2 linked regions of the Mytilus edulis genome follow. The protein of the gene in region 1 purifies or fractionates together with the protein of each later gene. This does not show direct contact. Links are inferred from orthologs where the notes say so. Each region holds a gene or a part of one and is shown on either strand. Other genes may lie near its edges.

Region 1 (9,465 bases):
TTTTTAAGTATAACAAGAATGTGTCCTCAGTACACAAATGCCCCACTCGCACTATCATTTTACATGTTCAGTGGACCGTGAAATTGGGATAAAAACTCTAATTTGGCATTAAAATTAGAAAGATCATATCATAGGGAACATGTGTACAAAGTTTGAAGTCAATTGGACTTCAACTTCATCAAAAACTACCTTGACCAAAAACTTTAACCTGGAGCGGGACAGATGGACGGACGAACAGACGGACGAACGAACGGACGCACGGACGAACAGACCAGAAAACATAATGCCCCTCTACTATCGTATGTGGGGCATAAAAATTCATTACTTAAGAAAACATAAAATCTAAAATTTATAAAAATGGAAAGGCAGCTTATGTCAATAGATATAAACAATTTATCAAAGTTGCATAAAATTTTGTGAAAGTGTTAGTTATTGTCCCAAAATTGGAAAATCCCCCCTTTTTTTAGCATAAAAATTCATAACACGGAAATGTAAAATCTGAAATTTAAAAAAAATTGAAAGAGAGCCTACATCAATAGATATAAACAATTCACCAAAGTTTCATGGACATTGGTGAAAGCCTTTTTGAGTTATTGTCCAAAGTGTTGAAAATCCCCCTTTTTTTAATGAATAAAGCCCCATAAATCCAAAACTTAAAATCTGAAATTTATAAAAATTGAAAGGGAGCTTACATCAATAGATATAAACAATTCACCAAAGTTTCATGGACATTGGTGAAAGCCTTTTTGAGTTATTGTCCAAAGTGTTGAAAATCCCCCTTTTTTTATGAATAAAGCCCCATAAATCCAAAACTTAAAATCTGAAATTTATAAAAATTGAAAGGGAGCTTACATCAATAGATATAAGCAATTCACCAAAGTTTCATGGACATTGGTGAAAGCCTTTTTGAGTTATTGTCCGAAGTGTTGAAAATCCCCCTTTTTTTATGAATAAAGCCCCATAAATCCAAAACTTAAAATCTGAAATTTATAAAAATTGAAAGGGAGCTTACATCAATAGATATAAACAATTCACCAAAGTTTCATGGACATTGGTGAAAGCCTTTTTGAGTTATTGTCCGAAGTGTTGAAAATCCCCCTTTTTTATGAATAAAGCTCCATAAATGCAAAACTTAAAATCTGAAATTTATAAAAATTGAAAGGGAGCTTACATCAATAATTATAAACAATTCACCAAAGTTTCATGGACATTGGTGAAAGCCTTTTTGAGTTATTGTCCGAAGTGTTGAAAATCCCCCCTTTTTTATAAATAAAGCCCCATAAATCCAAAAATTATAACCTGAAATTAAAAAAAAACGAAAGGGAGCTTACGTCAATAGATATCAACAATTCACTTAAATTTCATGGAAATTGGTGAAAGTGTTTTTGAGTTATTGTCCGTAGTGTGGACGATGGACGGACGGACAGACGGACAACGGTATACCATAATACGTCCCGTCTAAAAGACGATGGGCGCATAAAAACATCAAAATTTCCTTAAAATTACCAATTCAGGGGCAGCAACCTAACAACGGGTTGTCCGATTCATCTGAAAATTTCAGGGCAGATAGATCTTGACCTGATAAACAATTTTACCCCTTGTCAGATTTGCTCTAAATGCTTTGGTTTTTGAGTTATGAGCTAAAAACTGCATTTTACCCCTATGTTCTATTTTTAGCCATGGCAGCAGGGCTTTCCATTGAAGCCGGTAGCCGGCGGAAATCCGCCGTTTGCGGTGGCTTCAAGTGCCGGCTACTTCACTGACAAAAATATAAATTCAAAAAGAAAATAATATCTTTTTCAAATGTTTACAGGCAGCCGAGAGACGTATTTTCGCAAAGTCGCGGTCACGATAAACAAGGATGAAAAGTCAGTGTTTACCTTGGGCTAAATATAGTTCACATGAATTCAGGTCACTGATTGGTTGTCTGTTTAAAGTCAGAATGCATCGTTTCTTTTCAAAGATAACAAGAGAGACGTTCCGGTGGTCATTGAATGATAACAATAGAGACGTTCCGAGGGTCAATAACTCGTTGGCTTTTTTACTTTTAAAACGTGAAGACAATCAGATAGGATGACAATCTTATGTTATGGAATAATATCAGTCAAATTAAAGAAAGTGTAGTAGATCATAATGTTCAGAATCTTGAAAACAGTATCTTTTGAAGTTCATTTTTCAAGGCCCACGTGGTGTTCAGAGAATCAAGGTCAAAAACGAAAGTAGAATATTGTCGACTCGACCTCAAATAAATAACATTTCCAAATAATTTATGTATCCGACTTATTGAACAGTTTAAAAGAGAAAATCAGAGGATATATCAATTTTCTGTCAATGCTTGAAAAATAATTGTATGATTTTAGTTACGCGTACCAGTCTTTAGAGAGAAAAGGGGGGTCATTTGTTTACAAATGCACGTAGTTCTGCAAAATAAATCGATGAAGATTTTTAACAAACCGGATTATTATATAAATAAATCTCTTTTAAAAGTAAATGAATTTTAAGCATAAATAAATGAAAATAAAAAACTATAACATAAAAAAAAAAAGTCTTTGAGATTTTTTTTTTCTTTAATTTCATACATAAAAAATGGTCATTTGAAAGATGAAATTAGGTGCCAGGAGATTGCGAGAATGCAGGATTTTGCTCTATTTATGGCAGAGCTTCTGGGGGCCTTGAGCGGCCCCCAGACCCCCTGCCGTAAGGCACCAAGCTTACAGCTTGGTGGACGTCCGGCTTCGCCGAACGCATGTTACAGCCGCCTATAATTTTAATTCAGCCTTCTACTTCAATTTCAATGGAAAGCCCTGATGGCGGCCATGTTTTTTGATGAAATGGGAATTAAAACACAAACTTTATTCTAGATACCCTAGGAATCAATCAGATGAAGTTTGGTTTGAATTGGTTCAGTAGTTTCAGAGGAGAAGATCTTTGAAATAGTTTACGACGACGACGGACAAACGACAACGGACGCCAAGTAATGGCAAAAGCTCACATTTCCTTTTGGAAAGGTGAGCTAAAAAACAATTTCTTTAGGTAAAAACCATGATTAACATATAAATCGGTGAAGACGAATTTGACAGCTAATTCTCCTTTAAGGGAGTCCATATGGGTTCAGTAAACAGGATTTTTTATGCCATACACCAACAGGAAATCCTGAATGATACACCATTCAGTGTGTAAAGAAAGTGGAAACAGTTTCTGGGATCTTTAGCAAATTAAAGGGGCACTAGCTACGAGATATATACAAAATCTAAAATTTGATTTTTTTTTTTGTTCAATCAATAATGAAAGTGAAATAGTGAAATAACAATTCGCTTTTGCAGCCAAAAAGGTTCAATTTTGTCAAATTACGCTAAGAAACATTGATAATTAGTTATTCACTTGCAAGTGAATGAGTCAACCTCTTAAAACCCGTATTCATGTGAACTTCAATTTAACCCCTAGCTAGAGATAGACAACGCATGCATTGTACGTGTACTGGTTATTTAAAGAAAAGGAATGACAACAATGAAAGTGAAACTACGGTAAAACATTTGATTACTAATCGATGCACATAAAATCATTCTTATACTGTTAAAAACAATGAGAAACATCTATTTTTAATCTATAAAATATAATCAAACAGACCTATAAAGCTCCAATTGCACGTGTTGGTTTAATCTATTCATATCTTTATTTATGTTTACATCGCTTTTATGGTCATCTGAAGTCAAATAGATAGTTAATTGGATGGCGTCTGGACTAAAAAACAAACGAAACGAACCTATATATTATCTACCCCATGCTCTGTAAACTGTTTATTTTAGACGTTTGATAGTTAGGATTAATCACGATTAATGTTTTACATTGTTATAAATCAAATATGAGAATTTGAATCAAATCGGTGTTCATGAATTTGACAGCTAGTGCCCCTTTAACATGTACATCATTGCAACATGTACTATAATGTCTTTCAATAGTAATCAATCATTTCAGATTTTGAGATATACCTTTGCCTTCAACTCTAGTTCTGCATTTTAAATTTTGTCTGCCAGTTGGCAGTATTTTTTTTCTAAATTACTTCAATATAAATTTCCCATATTTTACCCATTAATTCAATCTACTATAGAAGCAGTATCATGAACTTATCAGTGCTTATTGATTATGAAATTAAAGTGGTGTTTAACAGGTCTCTTAAATTATAAAATGTACATGGATATATTTGGCAACAAATTATTTTTAGCTTGGAGATATTTTTTAAAGACTATACCTCAAAGTATTTCCAACAAATTTCTGTATCATTCAACATAATTTCAAATACATGTATATTTACACATCCTTCATGAACCATTTAGAAAAGGGACACTTATGTTAGTTCATAAGGGTCACAGTCACAATCATGTTATATGGATTTCATTGAAAATGGACACTGTAAAAATGCAGACTTTCATGATGTCAATTTACAGAGAAATAGATTAAACTGGCGCTAATGATTGGTTGTTGTCATAAAACGTTGTAATGAATTTAAGTTGTGGTTTCCGCATTCCTTACACCAAGTCTGGCCATGTTCGTGTCGACCTTAACATTTACAATTCAAATTTGGGACCACAGGTACCGAGAGGGCTTGACACTTTTACAATGGGCCAGATATATCAATCTTAACTGCGCTTTTCAGACTCCCAAAATTACCAACTTGTTGATTTAATACATCGTGATGCTGAAAATTCTGAATATGTTGCTGGCGGAAGTGCTTCCTTCGAAAATCCGCAGTGAATAAATGTTGACAAATAAAAATTGAAAAAAAATAAAATAAAGAAATATTTCTTTAGAAAATTCTCATCTAGTCACATGCCAATAAAATATTAAGAAACAAGTGTCTCAAAATGAATCTGTCTTAATCTCAAACTTTTTATTCTTATTTTACCAAAATTTTGCCATGTTTTGTTGAATAAAAAGGATGATTCATCATGTCTCATGAAATTCATTGGATTAATAATCTGTTAGACATTTGCAATTGTGGCTATTTCTATATATTTTGTTAATATTCATTTATTTAATGTACAATATTTTATCTGATGCTTTTTTCGGGCACTTGTTTTTGAGAAATTTAAGAGAACCATTTGAATGTCAATTACTAAATCCGAAACAAAGCAAAAGTCAAAAGAAATAGTTCTGTATGCGAAAATAGAGAAAATCATTACAATTTACCAATGGATAATTTCTTGATTTTAATAAAACTATCGATTTTTTTCTTATCAAGTGATGTGAAAGTTTAAGATATTTAATTTTCATTTTCGGAAACGAAAATTAACTGATTGACATACGGGTTTCAATTTGGCACTGAACAGAAGAAAACATTTGGACGCCATTTTCCACAGAAACTTGATAATCATTGTGGATTTAACAACATCAGACATCCTCCTTCGGGATGGAGGAGACCAAAATCATCTATTATATAGATGACGAAGACACTCCTTATTTAATCAAACTACCTATTCCCGCTGATCGTGTAAATCTTGGTGATTTTAAGAACGCTTTAAACAGACCAAATTACAAATTTTTCTTCAAATCGGTGGATGATGACTTCGGGTAAGTTAAAGCCAGTTGCACACCATGAAAGATCTAGGTGCCCGCAATAATGTTTAATTCAGATTTTCAGAGTATTAGTTAATACTGTCACTTTTGCAGTACGAGAAAAACAACCAGTAGACTACTGGTAAAAAAATATAATTTACAAATAACATAATTTCATTGTATTGCATTAATATACACCTTATCGTGTATTGCATTAATATACACCTTATCGCTATTTGTCTGCCATTACTGGATATCACACAGGTTCACGTAAAATTTTGACTTCATAAAACAAGATATCCGATGCCACAATGGAAAAGTGATTGTTGTTGACGTCAAAAGTTCAAGCGGCCGGGTCAGCCGGGGTTGGCGATAAGGTCAACGGAAAAAAAGTCACAGGAAAAAAAGTCACAAAACCTCTAGGAAAAAAAGTCACAGGAAAAAAAGTCTCAAGAAAAAAAGTCACAGGAAAAAAAGTCACAATTATAAAATTATTTGAAAGAAGTATATAAAATGTTTTATAAGAAGTATGTTGGAATGCACATGACAAAAGTGATTTTGTATATCAGCTGTATGAAATAGATAATTTAAAAAAATGTAGTTTTGTTAAATAAAAATAATACTACTAGTAAAAGTGTATCAGATCAATTATTTTTAAATAAAAGCTTTTAAAATTTATATAGGTAAAGCGCACATCGATATTAACAGATTTCGTTTTATTTATGGGTTAATAAAATAAAAAAATATATGTTTTTCATCATTTTTTTTTTTAATAAATACACCAAAAAAATGAAAAGTGTATTATAATTTATGTTCTCTTTTTAAAACCAAACTCTTAAACAAACAGGATAAGCCATTTGTTTCCTTTTCATTCATGATAAGCCCTAGTTGTTTTTCATGGGTAGGGCTTCCTTCCAAAAGAGGAAGTGAAAGGTCTGCAAAAAAGGGAAAGGTGCCACAAGAAGCCACTAATTAATCTCAACAGTCACTGTCAATAAATGTTGTAATTACATAATTATTGTTAATGGGGATGCTTTGTTTGTTTAACATGTAATTGAAGGATTCTCATGAAATTGGTAAAAACACAGCTATAGAAAAACAAAAATCACAATAACATGTGGTCAAACCATATCATAGACTTTCTAACTTTGACTCAAATTAAAGAAAATGTATGACTTCATTTACTTTTCTATAAAAGAAAAAAATAATTTCAAGTGTTATTAAATCAAGTATGGAAGTCATCAAGAGCAACAAAGGTGGTTCCAAACTTTGCTACCAGGGGTACATGTACACTATTAAAGCATACTACCAGAAAGACAGTACAGTGGTGGAAATGTGTGAAGCGATCCAGCACTGCATGTAAAGGGTCCATTACAACTTCTCTGCAGAATGAAAATCCAACTCCTGGCCAGCCACACAACCATGATCCAAGTGATATTAGCATAAAGTACACTAAGTCCAGGTACGCAATGAAAGAGCAGGCTGCTCTCACCAGAGACAAACCAAGCCAGATCTTCGCCCAGGTTGTTTCAACATGTGAAGATGATGTGCAAGCAATGATGCCCAGAGAAGAGAATTGTAAACGCACCATGCGCAACCAGCGTCCAACACCACCTGTTCCCCAGAGCTTTGTAGATGTCACACTGCCAGCAGAATTCACTATTACAACCAACCACCAACAGTTCCTACTGTATGACAATGGACAGAATGCTGAGAACAGAATGTTGGTCTTTTGTAGTCCTGACAGTTTAAGACGTCTTTTTAAACAGCTGTACACCATCCGAGTACCTTTTAAAGATGTTACAGTCACCACAGTGTATGCTTTCTTGCCGAACAAGAATCAAGATACATACAGAGAGTTATTTCAGTCATTGGTCGACAAATGCCAAGCCAGCCACCTACAGTTAAATGTTCAGACTGTGGTAACAGACTTCGAAGATGGCGTTCTACGTGCAGTGTCGGCAGTATTTGGCCGCCATATCAACAACCAGGGATGTTTCTATCATCTTACACAAGCAACTTGGAGAAAGATACAGAGCCTTGGTTTGGTTCCCCACTACAAGATTAGCGATGACTTCCGCTTGTTCTGTGGTATGATGGACGGCCTTGCCTTTCTGCCTGTAGCTGATTTGCCAAATGGTGTCCACCTGCTAAGAACTTTGTGTCCAGATGACCCACCAGAAGCAGCTGAACTTCTTGATTACTTTGATGCAACCTATGTAAGTGGCAACATGAGACGTAACCCAGCACCAGGTCAAGGTCTCCGTTTAGTAATGCGCCGCACTCCACCCATGTTCCCACCAACTATATGGAATGTCCATGACGCAACAGTCAACGGTGATTCAAGAACCAACAATGTATGTGAAGGTTGGAACAACAAATTCTTCAACTTAGTAGGTTATGCCCACCCATCAATATGGAGAGTAGTAGAATGGTGCCAGAAAGAAGAAGCTACAGTGAGAACCTTGATACAACAAGACGCTGTAGGTGTGAGCCAAAATTTGTTCCTGTGAAAAAAGTTCCAGTGGAACTAATTTCACAGGAAATATGTTCTGGGAGAACTTTTTTCACAGACAATTTCTATATAATTTGTTCCATCTCTATGAAATAAGTTCCACACTTTACTTGGTGAAATAAGTTCTGGGTTGGTGAAATTTGTTCCTTACCTAGTGAAATAAGTTCCATGTTTGTGAGATTTGTTCCTCACCTGGTGAAATAAGTTCTTGATTTGTGAAATTTGTTCCTCACCTGGTGAAATAAGTTCCTTGTCTGTGAAATATGTTCCACTGGTTAAACAAGTTTTCCTATATACTGAGCACTTGTCATTATAAAATACATGTATTATATTGATAATGTAATAAATAAAAAGTGTAAGCATCCAATTGGATCATGTGGAGTAAAGCAAAAGTTTAATAACATGGCAGCTCAAGTAATAATACTAAAAATGGCACTTATGAGCCAGGAAAGAGTAGAATAAGAAATAATAATAAAAGTCATTCCGAAAAAAGTATTATAGTTGAAGATGAATATTTGTACTTTTTTGAAAAGCACAAAGTGGCTGATCAATTATATTAAAAGACATAAAGAAACAAAATACACGCTCTTTAAAAACTGTGCAATGACCATAGCTAAGTACATGTAGGATTAGAACACCCATGACAGATCATCAGGAAACATGGAGGTTGAATACCACATAAACGATCAAACATAGATACATTATCATCGCTTTTATTTCTTATCTTCATGCTAAAGTCATTCCTTCAATTGCAAATGTACCCCATGCAAGCACAGAACTTATTTTCTGTGAAATAGGTTTGAGCAGAACATTTTCATTGATTTCTATAAAATACCTACGTTTAAAACTAATATCCCAAGAACTTATTTCACTTTTTTTTTTAAATTTTAATATTGGAACAAAATTGATGGTGCTGTGATTTTTGTTCCAGAACCTATTTCACACTTGGTTAAAAAATTAGTTCCGGAACAAATTTTATAGTGCTGGAACATATTTTCTGTGACATAAGTTCCAGTGGAACTTATTTCCTATGAAATTTGTTCTGATGGAACAAATGTCACGCCGGAACAAATTTTTTGTTACATAGGCACCCCACCAGTTAAACGGGTCCAACAACGTTATGTCCAACTTCAACTAAGACTTCAAAACTTGTGCAGAGACTTGACATCAGGCAACAAGACCATTGCAGAATTTCTCAGGGGTGTTGGTTGGAACATAAGACTTAACCATTAGTTGTCATCTCTGCTATATATCAAGTGAACTTTAAGTAAAACTATGTGCATCACATGTTCATTATCTGTTGTTCATTGATAAAGACATTTATTTGTGCTTGATTATTTATTATGTTACTATTATTGACTTATATTATTATGATGTATACATTAAATCTACATTAC
Region 2 (9,667 bases), on another chromosome or scaffold:
GCTGTTTGTTTATCAGGTACTAACAACTGAGACGCAGGCACCTTAAATGTGTTCAATAAGATGTTAAAAAATTTAAAAAAAAAAAGGCTCTTTGCTGCATACACTGCTTACTTGCTCCAATAATCTATTTCAAATCTATAAATGACCTGTATAGCTCCATATAAATTTTGTTAGATTCCCTTAGGGCTATTCCAGAAAAAAATGTATGGGGGGGTTGGAAGGCACATTATTAATATAATACATGGGTGATGGCTATCAGAGCAACTTTTCACACTATAATGCACTATAATTCTCAATTACAATTGTCTGGGTGGCAGGTGCTGACAAAAACTGCCTTCCAACCCCCCCCCCCCCCCCCCCCCCCCCCATACATTTTTTTCTGGAATAGCCCTTAGTTAGAATATATAAATATTGTTTGTTTTGTTGTCTTTTTTTAATCTTTTAAGTTCTTTCAATTTTTATTTACAAGTATTACTGTCCTTCCTTGTAAATTATACATGATATACTATATGAGAAGACTGGAAAATTAGCTCAGTTAAAACAAATCTAAGGATTAGGTGAAATTTTGTATGTTATAAGCTAAAAACTGTAGCATAAATCAAGTAAATATTGTTGGCATAACAACAGAGTTTGCCAAAAATGACCACTCACCACAATTTGAGGAAGAAATGGCAAGTCATGAAATAATGATGTCAATCTCCAATGTCCAAGACAATGTATGAGAACATTGTTAGGATCCCCACTCTGGTTAGAATGGTACTCATACATCATATCCATTCCAGGATGCTCTACTTCACCCTGAAATAAACATATGATATGTCTGATACCCTACAATATACACACATCTTTTAATTGTGTAATAAAATGAATACAAACCCAGTCTAAGTTCCTGTTCAATCATATAATATTGAATCAAATATCTAATAAAATTAAATTGTTTTTTTTAACATTAAAAATGTGTCTTTCAAGTTCTCTTTGTCTACATGTGTTGGTACTACATTCATGACATTATCTACTGTGCAAGAAATTTTGTGATATGTTAAAGTGTTTTTATTTGTTTCGAGTATTTAAATTCATAAATATATTTCTGCTTTCTTATGTTAATATTCATATTTACTTAGACAGAAAAAGATTGTGTAATTAATTACATTGATGTTTTCATTTGTTACTTGAATACCTCCAAATAAGGCAATAATTGATTACACCTTTCATACTTACTGTGAAGTATTTATAATCATTTATAATTCTATTGCATTGTTCCTCTGATAGAAGTGGTATGTTTGTTACTACACCATCTGTCCAAAATTGATTAGTTTGTTCTTCTGTCCACATCAATTTACTCCAATCGTCTTTATCCTGGGGAAAAAAGCAGTCAGCATAAGTTTTAAAATTTTCTTTCTTGTAATTAAATTACTAGTATATATAATAAATAGTATGCAGTCAAAGAAAAGAGAAATATGTATTTTAAACTTCTGTAACTTTCCATTCTTATTCTTGTAAGTTTTTTTTTATTTCAATCTTTCTAAAAACCTCATACTTCATTTAGAGTAAATGGCGGACTGCTGAACCAATGCCTCTAAAGTTTGGTGAAGGTAGAGATTTCTTAAGGAGGCTCGCGGATATAAAATTTTCAGAAAAAAATTTAACATTTATTTTTCATTACAAATTTTATTAATTACCTTTAGTAGTTGTTTCTTTATCATATGGTACAAAAATCATTCCAAAAACTCAATTCGTGTTGGTCCCAGGTGACATTTAAATTGTAGATATCATTGAAAAAGCTCCAAATTATCTCCCTTTGGTGCAAAAATGCCATTTTTTGGCATTTAAATTGAAATATCTTTTTTAACTCATCGGTGACCTATATTTTTTATTGTTGTTTTCGAATTAGCTGTACATAAACTAAATAATTGTAAAATTTAAACGATTTCTGTAATTTAGTTCTTTTTTTATTTCGATATTACCGCTTTTTCTCCTATTAGTTCAACAGAAAAAAAGGACATTAACAAAAATGTATGCTTCTTTCGAAGCCAGATTGTGAGCGTAAATGAACGGTGACCCCATTTTTTTATTTATTTTTTCTATTAAGAATAGAATAAAGTTCTTTTATAGAAAAATATAGCGAAATCCTATATTAAATAAAAAAATTGATTTAGACCCGCGAGCCCCCTTAAATGGATACTGATGGTATGCAGGGTTGTCAAAAGAGTAGAAGAAATTAAATTGTAGACTTTATACACTTCAAATGTGTTCAGTAACACTAAATGTTGTTGTCAATTTAGCAGTGACTGACTGTTTTATCCTTTATTTGTAACATAACAAGCACATGCACAAATGTCTGTTGTTCCAGTATCTTGGATAATTCTGAGCATATCCCACATAATTTATATGTTAAGTTAACTAAGACTTACATTGTTGATTTCATGTGAAAATGACATTGTGTGAATAAATTTTAATCGCTGTCCATCTTTAAAACTAGGTTTATGTTTGAAAACATCTTATAAACAGGATTCAGGTAGAGATAGAAAAGGAGCGAAAGATACCAGAGGGACATTCAAAATCATAGATTGAAAATAAACTGACAATGCCATGGATAAAAATGAGAAAGACAAACAGACAAATAATAGTACACAACTTGTGACAAGACAATAATCATTAAAATATTATTAGTTGCATTAACACTCACTGTAATAGGCTTAAACAGATCTCCAGATGGTTCATGTACTGTGCTCCAATCTGGTACTCCAGGTAGGAATTCTTTGGGCTCTGGTGGTGACATTTTCCTGTGAAAAAGAAAACATGAATAATTTCAATTATAAATAAAGCCTGTAAATCCTATCCTTTTATAAATTATATAAAATAATTCTGTACCAAAGTTTTGTTGAATTTTTTTTTTTTTTAGACTCTTATGTATTGTAGTCTTATGTCATATATGTAGTATTATAATATTAACTGAAACATAAAGTCTTACAACAAAATGTCCATTTTCTATCCATTTAGGGTTTAATTTGTATGTATGGTAAAGACAATAAATTGTTAGGATGCTTACTCTAATTTAATTTTGAGTTACTATCTCACTTACATTTATCCCTTTAAATCATGTTTTTGAATGTCCATCTGGTATCTTTCACCCCTCTTTATTCATGTCCAATTAAAAACATTCAAAAAATCCTTCAAGTGGGTGTACGACTGTTTTGAAAACAACAAAATGAAAATAATTCAAAATTCATTCAAAGTAAAGAAAAATCCTGCATAGGACAATACTTTTTTTCTGTTTTGACTGGGATGAGAAGCTCAGTGATCTGGAAGGTTTTTTTCACTATGGGCCCAGGGCCCCTCAAAAATAAATTCAATGGGCCATTTTTAAAGATAATGGGCCATGTTGTCAAATGGTTGGGCCATTTGAATTGACTTCTGTAAAAAAATAAAAATTATCATTATTTTTTGGCAAAGAGGTGTTGGTACTTACCTTGATTATTTTAAATAATATCATGGATATTGTTCCTGTGATTCGGTAATTTCAATGAAATAGAATATACAATAACTTCTTCCAAAACAGACAATATTAAAGATAATCTGTAAATTACAAAGTTTAAACTGGTACTGTTGCCTTGGCTTGTTCATGTTCATGGTTGTTTATTTTTAACATTAAATTTGGGTCTTCGTCGATACCATACTTATTGCAGACGTTCCGTATTAGAGAACATTTCAGGCACTTCTTGTATTATTATTATTACTTCATCACGTTGACAAGATTAACAGCAGAGAGTACCATTATTGTTAGAACAAAACAATTATTTGCTGAGGTCATGTTTACAAAATGTCAAAACGAGCCAAAGACCAAAAAAATGACAAGGACAGTTAAGCGCCTTTTATGGAGACAAAAACTATATTCATAAAAAGACTTGGGTTTTTTTCAATCGAAATAATAGCAAGCTAAACTAAATTAAAAGATTAGAGTTACATCTCGTCTGTAATAGCCAAATTTCATAAATTTAAAGTTGTTTATAAAAAGTTATATCATGAATGATGGTTAATTACGTTTTTTGGGTTATCATTTAGACCGCATGGTTCTATTATTACCATAGAAAAACACCCGAGACTTAAAACCGCATGGTTCTATTACCATAGGAAAACACCCGGGACGTCCCAAAAATATATTGGTGCTCCAATGATTGGAGGAACATTATACAGTTGTAAACACACACATGGCGGCACGGAAAACGATATGAAATCCATTTGACGATATCTAAACTTTTCGAAACGATGTGAAAAATATTGTGCGCCACGTGGGCCCTTACATTTGTCACTCTATGCGCCATTTCTGGTCAATATGCGCTATAGGCGCAGGGCGCACGTCCTTCCCGATCACTGGAAGCTAAGGACATAATTATTATAAACAAGGTGATGACACCAGTATTGCTTGCGGTACTTTATTTGTATTGCTATTTAGTCCAATCTGGGGAAAAAAACAGTCATTTCAGTCTTCAACAACTTTATATTTGGGTCAAGTGTTTCAAAAACAAAGGTCACCAGTAATGAGCTTTTAAAGGAAAGCATACATGTAGTTTAGAAAGCAAATATTTTGAAACTTTAATAGATTATGATCAACTTTTTTTTAAAACACAAATCAAAAGTAATACAAATTCTTTGTTTGACCTGTTTACAAAGGTTTAGACTTTTCTCCAGACTCCTTGAAAAGTTTTATGCATAACTTCTTGTTTCAATGTCATTATCCTTTTTTGAATACAGATATACAAAGGAAGAAGTTCATGAAGGGTTGTAACTTATTGCATGTGTTGTATTGTAATGTCAGTTTATCATTAGTTTGTACACTATGCATCTGTATTTTCCACCTCTGTATATGGTTAAGTGCATCACAGATTCCTTCCAGCTATTGTGTGATGGGCTGTTGTGCGCACGATTTAATCGTGCTTGCTGAGTAGTGCTGTTTGAAACTCCTCAGTTAAAGTGACACACACTAATGTGTCCTCCGGGTACAAATGTGGAGTTTTTGAACTATTCAGTCTGGCTATTTGGAACTATGAATGCTCGTTTGTTGTAACAGACTTGTTGGTCTATAATATTCTTAGTAATAAATTTATTTTAAAAGGTTGTTGCTCTGATGTATGACATATATCGTTTTGATATAAAATTTAATCATGTCGTCCAGAGAGAACAATGGTGATGGTGTCTTCCCCTCAACCCACATGCACTTGTTTCTGTCAATGGGGGGGTTTACAAACCAAAATCCCCCCCCCCCCCCCTTTTCCTATATTCAGGTGGACATTTTATGACTATGACTATGTGACAACGCTTAAATAGATCGATTTTTATTTCTTCTCATTAAATTCTTTTAATACCTTTAACTTTGATGTCTGGATATTCTGTTCGGCCTTCTCTAAACAGCTAAAAACTTGTAGCCCTTGGTGTACACAGACAGCTTAAAGATGCACCGGAAGTCCCATTTAACCGGATATGTAGCTCTTCTGTTGACCTCCCACACATATTTAAATCATTATTTCACATTTTCAGTTCATTCTTTAATTTTATTCATCCTTTTGCTGCACTATAATTTTCTCGTTTAGTTGTTTTACAGGTGGTTACTTTTTTTTGGAGTTATTTTCTAACGAATACGTTTTATTTTGTTCCAAGTTTTGGCGGGTGGGTTACACAATAGCAAATTCAAAAGCAAAATGGTCTCCTGAAATTTGAATAGTTCATTAGAAAACAAAGCGAAATTTTGAATTGAAATATCCAATGCTTTGACATTAAGGCAAATGGGATTGTGGATTAAGGTTTCCATTAATTGTCACAGATTTATGTAGAAGTTTTGGTAAGTAAAGTTTGAAGCTCCTCAGCTTACAAGGAATCTCAAGTGATTCACCACCGGCGGTACTCCGGTAGTCGAACAACATTTCAATTGTACATAATTCTTAATATTATTCGCGGTCGTTTTAGTCTTTATTCCTGTATATCCTACACAAAGAAATATCTATGTATTAAAACACCCTCGTATTAAGTAGTTTATAGCATCGACATCGTCCTGCTTGTTGCTGAGTAATAGATAAATAGTACATGTACAAATGTATATATACCACATAATTTTTCAGATGCATTTATGAAGCAGTTATGAGGGTAGTAATGCCCTTTGACGTCAAGTGTCAAGTCATTTTTGGCACCTGTTTATCGTCATATTGGTTTAAAATTTACAGTGATTCATTATTCGTCTCAAATGATTATCGTTACCGTTAATTTTGAAAAAAAAATAATCTGATTCGTCAATATCAGTCAATGTTTTTATCATCTGAAAGAAAGTCTACATTTTATCGTCATTCACCAAAAATAACTGTTAACGTCATTTTGCAAGATTTTTTACTGTTATTCGTCATGAAGGTACCCTTATTACGACCCTCAGTTATTGGTGTACATGCATGTACAGTATTTTCTAAAAACATGTACCCCTTCTCTCTGACCACCACAACATTTACATCTGCTTCAATTAAGTTTTATAATAAAGCTGGTAAAAATAAGTATTCCCATATTACAATATTTATTTTGTTATGTTTTGCAAATTCAACAACATGTCGAAATAATATTGCCATGTAAACATACATGTATATCAGAAATGATTTACAAGGCCATTTAAAAGTGTATGAGGGTTTCAGTAAATAATTTACATGACCAACCTTAGTTTAAACCCCATACGGTACGGTATAGTCCCTCTGATATATATCTTTCTCCCCTCTTATAGATTTTTTTTTTTCATTTATGAAAAATTAAAATTCAAATGATCAAATTTTGACTTCTGTCACCTGAAGTGCAGTCTTCACGATGAACTGTTAAATCTAGAGGCCCGGAGCTCAATTTTTGAAAAAAATTAATTAGATTCTATTGGCCTGTAGATATGATTTTAACAGGCCCGAGAGAAATTTTACAAGCCTGGGCTGCCATTCAGTGTGAAGACTGGAAGTGCCATCAGTAGTACCCACTATGACTGTAATTAATGCAACAATATTATCTCTAAATGTATCAAACTTGGATCAAATTAAATAATCATGAGGTATTTAACTGCAAATCAAGGGGACAGAGACTTTTTTAAACAAAATTTCAAGAATGGAGTTGAAAATTAGGGTAGTAATCCCACTCTCTGTTGTGGTAAGCTCTGAGCCCCTAAATTAATACAATTTAGAGATCATTTTGACCCCTGAAAGAGTTCTTAAAGGTTAAGTACAACTGTACATACAGTTGTACTTATCTGTTTCTTGGATTAAGTCAATATTATTAATACACACTAGGTGCCAGATGAACGACTCCAGGTTTAATTTGATAATCAGAACAAATGTTGTTAAACATACTTTTATCTGCATAAAGATGTATCATAAATGAAATGTGCAGTCATCTATTGTAACTTGATGACTGTTGTCTTTGTTATTTACTTTATACATATATACCAGTAACAGCAGTGACCATACATGTCAAAGTTAATGTTATATTTATAAGTATAATACGTTGGAAAGTATCAACTATAAAAAAGAAGATGTGGTATGATTGCTTGTTGACATATTAAGCTGCTTAGGATCTGAAACATAATATTAAGACTAACCCCATCATGTTTTTGTCTATATAAAATTTTGGCTCAAATTAATTGGGAAGTTGAAGATATAAATGCAAAATTGGGAGGTTTTGTTTCATCAAGGAAAAACAATACTGTGTAGCCCTGTTCAAGTGTATCGATAAATCATGTTTTTGTGAGAACAGTGTGTACTTCTTTTTGATATGTACAAAATATAATTCATACATTCAGTGCTCACTTTAAGGAGTGAGGTACATGTATTACCGATTTTGGCTCCTTAATTTTTTTTTAGATTTAATGCATGTATATATTTGTAAAAAAAAAGTTGAAAAGTGTCTTTAAGTTTTCATAATTAATTTTTTTTTTTTTTTAGATATTATGATAGTATTGTTTTATAATGTATAACTTTGTAAATGAAATTTGAGATCTACTAATTTTTCTATGTTTTAAAGAATAGTGTAAACTTTTCCCAGAGTTGTCAACAAATTAAAATTTAGCAACACACCATAAGAAATGAACAGTCTTGACAGTGCTTGATAAGTTGTTCAAATTAAAGAAAAAACATGTATATACGTACAGGGCTAAATAAAAAGTAATAGACAAAGTGCTTTCTCTTCATAAACAAATCTGAATTTGGAAATTGTACAGGTATAAAACATGTACATTTGTACATAAAATTCAACATGTGTGTCAATTGAAATTTTAATGTTTGTGTTTTATGATGTACAAATTTTAGACTGGCAATTGCTTGCTTTGGTAATTTCATATTTTTAGAAATCTGCAAATATCAAAGGAACAAAAATGTCATATTTGTACTTGAATCTCTAAATGAGCACTTTTCTAATTGTATCATATGTGACATATATGTTTGAATATATATATATACAGGCATTTTCTTAAGTCATAATTTTATTGATTTATTACAGAAATTTAAAATTTTCATATTCACTGTACTTTAGATTTATAATAAATCACAATAATGACATTTTTGTTGTAAAATGATCTTTTTATGTTGGTGGGAAGCATATTAAATAAACCAATCCAAACAGCTTTGAACTCATTGACCTTCTGTTGGTGGTTTAATTACCTAATCTGATAGCCCTTGTAATTGTTTTATCTCAATTAACTACAATAAATGGGTGAAATTCATACCTGTTCCTTTGTTGTTATTAGATTTGACACATACCTTTGGGTCTTTTGATTTCTTAATTGAAGAAAAACATCTGTTGATACTCAAATCATGATTATATTACCAAATTTAGATTATTTAAATTGCTGTATAGAGAGTGCAAGGATCTTACAAAAATGAGGATATAAACTTTTTCAGTCAGACTACATCTTTAAAGGTAATAGTTTGAACTTGATCAGCTTCTCTTTATGACAAATGTAGAAAAATAGTTGACCAATAGAAATGTTAATGTGTTCATGACTGATAACACCAATATATATATTTACTTTAAAATCACAAATGTGGGATTTTCGAGAACACATCAGCCAGAAAAGATCGAGAGTACATTAACATCTATATGTTAATTTCTCAGCCTACACTTTTGCAGGAACATTTATAAATAAGTAATTTCCTGGAGGCAAACAATTGGTATGGACATATAAAATCTATTATTTAAATTTATTGTTTTAAGATTGGTTAATTGTTTAAATGAGAATACAACAAAACTCCCTATAGAGACATTTAGATGTAAAATTACTGAAAAACTTATAAATATTTTTGATGAAAAGTAAACTTTGACATGTAGTTTGGAATTTCTTTTAAAGTTTTGAAATTATGAAAAAGTAAAAATAAATTTTTAATCATCATGCATCTTGACTTCCCTTGGTAACATCATAAGTGCTTGTACTGATATTTGTTTCCAATAAAAACAACAATATTTATGTTAATTATGAAGGGATGGTGAGATAGATATACAGTACACATTTATGATGGTTGACATCAGATAATATAGCCTTCAGTTTTTTGCAAATTAAGCATAAGGATAATCATTCTATCTTTATTAAACTACCAGGCCATATAAAAGTTGGGTAAAAGTTTGTAATACTACCTACTTTAAATTAAATCTCCCATATTATAAAGTA

The links.
Region 2: the proteins of segment polarity protein dishevelled homolog DVL-3-like (region 1) and vang-like protein 2-B purify together in Drosophila melanogaster (affinity purification with western blotting; 3 studies listed by BioGRID). This does not show direct contact. The link is inferred for Mytilus edulis from reciprocal best matches to the Drosophila melanogaster genes dsh and Vang.

What each region holds. Positions count from the first base shown.
Region 1 is NC_092356.1:40,905,552-40,915,016, forward strand, and holds the start of segment polarity protein dishevelled homolog DVL-3-like, read left to right. Parts: upstream 1-5,301; 5' UTR 5,302-5,407; coding exon 5,408-5,568; intron 5,569-7,022; coding exon of another isoform or gene 7,023-8,066; intron 8,067-9,465. Other genes in the region: uncharacterized protein, read left to right, coding at 7,023-8,066.
Region 2 is NC_092348.1:7,028,074-7,037,740, forward strand, and holds the start of vang-like protein 2-B, read left to right. Parts: upstream 1-5,491; 5' UTR 5,492-5,836; intron 5,837-9,667. Other genes in the region: uncharacterized protein, read right to left, coding at 1-41, 652-798, 1,219-1,356, 2,687-2,779.